Linked DNA regions of Arabidopsis thaliana. The protein of the gene in region 1 interacts with the protein of each later gene in a pairwise test. Each region holds a gene or a part of one and is shown on either strand. Other genes may lie near its edges. The genes, in order: bZIP58 and AT1G44830.

What was found.
Region 2: the proteins of bZIP58 (region 1) and AT1G44830 interact in a two-hybrid assay, tested with the Arabidopsis thaliana proteins (one large-scale study listed by BioGRID).

Annotation. Positions count from the first base shown.
Region 1 is NC_003070.9:4,649,785-4,653,445, forward strand, and holds bZIP58 (basic leucine-zipper 58), read right to left. Parts: upstream 1,766-3,661; 5' UTR 1,594-1,765; coding exon 1,003-1,593; 3' UTR 822-1,002; downstream 1-821.
Region 2 is NC_003070.9:16,931,778-16,935,396, forward strand, and holds AT1G44830 (Integrase-type DNA-binding superfamily protein), read left to right. Parts: upstream 1-1,921; 5' UTR 1,922-2,014; coding exon 2,015-2,650; 3' UTR 2,651-2,791; downstream 2,792-3,619.

The DNA.
Region 1 (3,661 bases):
ATTTTGATGTGTTTGGATTCAGAAGAATACTAATTCGTCAGGTGAAAAATTTGAAGAAACGATTTCTAGGTGGCTTTGTCAAACTCGAATTATTAGTGATGCATTAATGGCTAAAATAAATAGGTACAAAATAAAAAGAAGGGGCTAATGATTATATGGTTGATTAAAACTAAAAAGAAGAATTGGTCCACCAGTGTTTAGCAATCAATTTCATCTTAAATCTTTGTTTGCCATGAATGTTTTTTTTTTATTTTTTATGATGCAAGTCTATTTATGCGGCGAACTGAAATTTTGGGAGTAAGATTTGGTATTATATCGTCATAAGAACCGATACATTTAATATTTTTGATAATCGAAATTTATCATTCATTTGAATTTTATGATTAAAAACTCGACGCCTGGAAATTCAGCAACATATACTTTTTTTTTGATAAAAACTTTCAGCAACATATTGGTACAAACAAATTTATTGGTAACTAAGGCAGACTTTCTTGCAATCTTATAAAAACACATAAAGAGAAGTACGGACATAAAATAAAACAACGAAAACATTACTTTAGTATTCTCTTGAAAGTTACATGTAACTGATCTAAAATTTCATGTCGACCAGACTTGATTAATACTAAAAATGATGTCACCTGGAACACCTGTTCTGCCAGTGCGAATTAATTCACATCGATCGTGAAACTAATTTTTTTTTATCTTTTTGGAACTGACTCAATGTTATTTTGAGTTTTGTAGGTTTTTGATTCATACATATTTTTAGGACACTTATCGCTTGAAAAAGGCTTTAAATTGAGAACAATATACTATTTATCGTACGTCCATGATCATCACTAATATTCTTAACTAACTCAAGTTGGCTAAAAGAAAAAAAGATATAGAAGAACAATATTTTTTCTCGATAGAGAATAACATTATTAATGATATTATATCATATAATATAGTATGATCCTTAGGAAATCTACAGTCTTGACATAAGCAGAACAATGATCAAGATCATTAACACAACTCAAAATCTCTGCCGCTTTGGTTCGAATCCGATCTAGAGTTTGATATCGAATCTTCGAGCTCTCTTAAAAAACTGTTGTCGTCTTCGTTGTGTGACTTTATCTCAGAGATCAGCTGTCTGAGATCAGAAGTTTCCTCTTTAAGCTTAGCGTTCTCCTTTAAAGCAAGCTCATGGCTTTCAGATACGCGGTTCAGCTTATCCATAAGACAGTGGTTATCAGTGCGAAGTCTTATCACTTGAGACCAAAGCTCATCGAGATGTCTCTGCTTTCTCATTCTTGACCTACGAGCAGATTCCCTGTTAGAGATCATTCTCCTTTGTTTCCTCTCATCGATGACCATACTTTGTTGGTGATCTTCGTCTGAAGTTGAGTTGTTGCTCGTCATTAGATCCTGACCATTGGATGATGAAGAGTAGTTGTTGTTGTTGATCAGACCATTGAGGTGGTAGAAGGAGGAACAAGAAGTAGGAGAAGAGGGCATGTTGAAGTACTCAGACTCCATGATTGGTGTTTGGTTATTATATTTATCTGGTGGTAGATAGTGGAAGTATCCAGTGAGTTCGGCTGGAATCGTGTTCATGATCTTTGCTTTGATTTGTTTCGTGATATGTCTTGTGTTGTTGAAAGATAGTTTGTGGGATGTTTTTAGAGCTAGAGAGGGAGGGTTCTGTGTGTTGTGTGAAGTGGTTTTGAAGTAAGAGGAAGAGAGGGCTAAGGGTTTTATAGAGGAGGGAGGCAAAGTTATGTAGAAAATGGTGTTGAATATAATTCATTATTTTAGTAAAAATATTAGATACATAAAGATTAGTTCATTCAGAAAGTTCTAATACGATGATTTGTAATACTCGATTTCGTATAAATAAATATAATTAATTAATGATGGTATAAAAAAATAATCTACTTGATTATATATACGACAAATATATTGTTTCTAAGATTATTTTATTTTTTCTTTTGTTTTTTTTTGTAGAACCACAAAGTTAATATTGTTTAGGTGGACTAACTTTATTTGGGTGGATTGGTGGATTGATGGTTTTATGAGATGTCTCCAAAATTCAGCCAACTTATACTTTATTTGTTGCATATGAGTTGAAAAAGTTCGCTCACGTTTCAATAACTTTCTAGCATTTTTTGTGGCTGCCTTCTTTTTGTCACTTGAGATGAATAATCAAATTACAAAAACTTCTTTACCAGATGGAATAGTATTAAATTTATATATATATATATATATATATATATCTCTACCAATTGCATGACATATATAAATTTAAATGGCTAAATAAAATAAAAATAAAACGCTATTTATTTATATAGAAAACTTCGTATAACACATTTTAAATCCAATTTTTAACTAGAAATAGCTATTGCCTCCACAATTAACAGTACTATTGAAATATATAATGCTAATATGCATAATAGCTATGATTGTCTTATGTCATATCACCAACCATAAATATTTTTCGCGTATTAGATAAATTACTGTATAAACCACTGTAGTAATCATATCTCTCTCTTTTTTCTTTCTTTTGTGTTTGTGAGTAACCGTTAATTAATCATAGCCAATAAATATATGCATCATACAAGACAAATATTGCCGTAATTCCTTACGTACTTAATTCACTTCACCAAGAACAAACACTTTTTCTGGAAAAAAAATTATTGGGCATGGAAAATTATATTGTTTGTGAAAATTTCAAGGAACGAAAACAAGGTGGGGTTTCCACTTGCTGCTCTAATTCAAGAAGTCTTAATTTTTATGATTGGCGACTAAGTTGAAATATAGATTAATTTCAAGCATTGCATCTACCATGTGATATCTCCAGTAGTAAAAAAAAACATAAAATCGAAAAAAAAAATATGACTGAGAAATGTCAATAATTACATTTTTTTCATTCATAATTAAGTATGATCTGTGTAGACTTGACCGATGAGTGTTAATTGAGTGATATGGCTCTAATCCACAAGACTATAACTACTCCATACCTTTTCAATGCCTATTTGTTTCCTAAATGAACTAGTAATCATTAATCAAGTCCATTTAAAAACTAATTAATTAGGTGTTTTCCCACTATTGATCTTAATTAATAAATCAAACGACATGAGATAAGTTTTAATTGTAGATAACAAGAGACGCCTAAATCCATGTCTCTCTCGCTCTATAATTGTATAGATAAAGTGGTTTTTAATAATTAACATACAACAAGTTTAAATAAAATCATCGTCCATGCCTTCCTATACTACATTGTTTTCAAATGCAGATCGAAAAACGAACTAGAAAAGTTTTTGGTGTGGAGTCATCGAGTTAGTCCGGTCAGATCATGGGCTGTTACACAATTCAAGACACTAATCATACAATAATAATATATAAAGTAATCATAAGATATTTTAAATCATAATTAATTAACACTAATATAGTAATATATACTGTAACTAAATCTTGAATATTATAAAATCCTAACTGGAGAAAAACGTAAATGATAAATAAATCTCTAATATTTGAAGAAAAAAATTCTACCAAAAGGACTCGAAAAAAGAACAATATATATTTCAATTAATGGAAGGAAACCATAATTAATAATAATAATAATAATAATTAAAAAATCAGAAATAACCATGAATCAACAGTCTCCAAACGCTAATTATGTATT
Region 2 (3,619 bases), about 12 Mb from region 1:
GGATTTTACCCGATCCGATCACTCAAGCTTTATGACACAATGTAACTCATCTTCTTCTTGTTCTTACACAGTTACACGTATAGCTTCAGACTGTCGAGCTCTAGACACTAAAACAATCAACAAAGAATGTGATTGGGTGAATATGGTGACATTGTGGTGAAAAGAAAATATTTATTGGTAAATAAAAATAAATGTAAAATAGTGAATTAGTTAAATGGTATGAAATGGAGATATCTTTCGGTGAATGAGAATGTTATAGTTGTTTTTAGAAAATAGCAAAGTCATATTGGTAAAATATTGAGAGAAAATGTAAAATGTTTTTTTTCCGTAAATGACTTTGAAAAGTATAATTTATTTGATAAGCTTGGATATACAAATATTTTAACCCGCTAAATAATATAGATATATCCAAAAACATAGATAACATGATTATATGACAAAAACATAAATATGTTTTATAAATTAGATGTCTACATAACGAAAATAATGTAGTAGAGGAAATGTGTTCTACAAGTTGTAGATATAAGAGCCAAAACATATAAAAACTTCATTTTGATAAATTAGATGTGCACATAGAATACTAATGTTAAAGAATTCGTCACGTAAGATTTAGTTATAACTATTATTTTTCTTAAAAGAAAGTAAAATAGTCAAAATTTGAATCATTCTCTTTAGATGGAATTAATTTGATTATTTATTCAAATACCACGTTTGTAATTACAGTCATTGAGTGCAAATATTAATATAAAAATGGTAGAACATTGTTGGTTTTGTTTTATCATAAACTTTTGTAAAATGTTGCCTGCATTTTCCAACGAACAATTCTGTTGATTCGTTTCTTGATATGAATAAAAAACCTTCATTATTGTTATATTATAGTACCCCAAAAGAGAAAAAAGAAATAGAGTCGTCTGGCTAGAACGTGAACACGAATAGATTAGTTTAGTAGTACTCTTACGCGTCTTAATTTAATTCTAGTGCCGACTAAATATAACCGCAGATTAGTTTAGTTAATAAACAGTGCAAGACTATTATGAGGTTTGACGATTTTACTTTAGTTTATTTAGTTAGTAGTACAATATTATTTAATATTACAATGCAGTTTGACAAAAGAATCTGAATTTAATTAATTTAGTAAAAGCCTTTTTACAGAGAGAATTTTACGTGTGACAAGGAGACACAAAGAGCTAGTTAACGCGGTTTTAAAAGTCCCATTAAGACAGAAGAGCACCAGCTCTTGTGCATTACCTTGGTAAACATGACTTCAGCTACTTTAACGTTTAAGATTCTGAATTATGTTTAGGCCTTTTAACCAAAAAAAAAAACTTGTAATTTTTGTATTATATATATATATATATATATATCTATAATCATGCATGTGATTTCATTTTGCATCTCATTTATCAAAATAATTCGATAGTTAAATTATTCTTATGATTAACTTTGTCTTTTGTTTGTACCTTAAAAAATCACATGCTCTTAGCTCCTAGAAGTTGCCTCTAAAAATAGAATCCAATGTTTCCTCTTATAATGTTTTATAACTTTCTGTCGTATCTTGATATTAATATTCTCATATGAGTACTGATTTTTGTTATTTACATTTTTATTCAAGATTCTGAGGCTCAAGAAGTAGTAACTTTTAGTTGTAAACAATAGTGTACTTTTGTGGAACTAAAGAATTAGCTTGGAGCCTTGGAGGTCAAATCAATAAATATGCATTTTTGAAAATAAAAAATAGGGATTCTCTTATTAGTGATCTGTGATTGGGTGTAGCATATGGGATTGTGATTAAGGAAAATCTTTTTTATAAATAAATTAAAAACACCTGTCTCTTACATTATTTAAAAGAAAAGTATTAATCTCTTTGTGTGTGCCCCATGCTACTTTCTTTGACTATGTTCATAGTATTTTTTTTTCTTTTGAGTTCTTTATGTTTCTCTTTCCATTTTTGTTCTCTATAAATAGAAACACACCATTCTTCTCCTCCAACTTCCTCCCTTAATTAGTATCAAAAATGGTGAAAACACTTCAAAAGACACCAAAGAGAATGTCATCTCCATCATCATCATCTTCATCATCCTCATCAACATCATCATCATCCATAAGGATGAAGAAGTACAAGGGAGTGAGAATGAGAAGTTGGGGTTCATGGGTTTCAGAGATCAGAGCTCCTAATCAAAAGACAAGGATCTGGCTTGGTTCTTACTCAACTGCTGAAGCCGCGGCTAGAGCCTACGACGCAGCACTCCTATGTCTTAAAGGATCCTCAGCTAATAATCTCAACTTCCCAGAGATCTCAACTTCTCTCTACCATATTATCAACAATGGTGATAACAACAATGACATGTCCCCTAAGTCTATACAAAGAGTAGCAGCTGCAGCTGCTGCTGCCAACACAGATCCTTCCTCATCATCAGTCTCTACTTCATCTCCATTGCTTTCCTCTCCATCTGAAGATCTCTATGATGTTGTCTCCATGTCACAGTATGACCAACAAGTCTCCTTGTCTGAATCATCATCATGGTACAACTGCTTTGATGGTGATGATCAGTTCATGTTCATTAATGGAGTCTCCGCGCCGTATTTGACAACATCACTTTCTGATGATTTCTTTGAGGAAGGAGATATCAGATTATGGAACTTCTGCTGATTCTACTTTCATTATACCTTATTCTTTGTTTCAATATATATACTTGAGTTATGTAACTTATACAATGTGTTATACATTTTTTTCTTCCCTTTTCTATCAATTCTCACAATGTATGGAACATTTGGGGATCTTTGTACCAATATCTAAATTATTTTTGAAATTAGATATTTTTCATGTTAAGAGTTCACTAAATCTAGTAGTAGTGGTTAAGTATGGAAATAGATTTATAGCTTTTGAACAAAGAACTTCGAATGATAACAAGTTAAAAGGTAAAAACGAAAAAGTACAGAATCATATTGTTGTTGATTAAATTCTGAAACCTAAAAGTTAAGAGTTAGTGTTGAAAACAATCATTTCAGATTTTATAGTATGAATGCAAAATTTGGCGTTACTGACTTTAACACTAACACTGTTTGATGTAAATGTGTACATGATACAAAATAAGTGGTGGTAAGATGACTATGCGATATAAGTACTGTATATATGATTTTTCTTTATTAAGGATATAAAAGTATTAGCTAATGAGTTAAACAGAAAGCAGATTTTTCATGTGAAAAGTTTTGCAAAGTCAAAGAGTAAGAAGCAAGTTTCATGAGGCTTGTCATAGAAGGCGATGATTAATCCTACTTAATTATTGTTGAATAGAGTAAGTGTATAAATATTATTTATTTAGAAGAAAGATAAGGAAAAAGAGAGAAGAGACAAGAGATGCAGAATGGTTTTGTGTGGTGACTGGTTAGAATTGGTAAAACCAAAGAGAAAGAGTTAACGTACGTGGAAAACTGTGTACGTTTGTGCTTAGATATCGTAAAAAAATTGACATCCATTTTACTCCAACATTGGTCTGAAGAAAAATCTAACAGTAGATTTGAGCAGAAAGCCACATGAGTTGTTTTGGTTTCTTGTTATGTGTGTGTTCTTTGTGAGATGGGGTCCCATGATTCACTCTCTTACCCTTGCTCCTCAGAA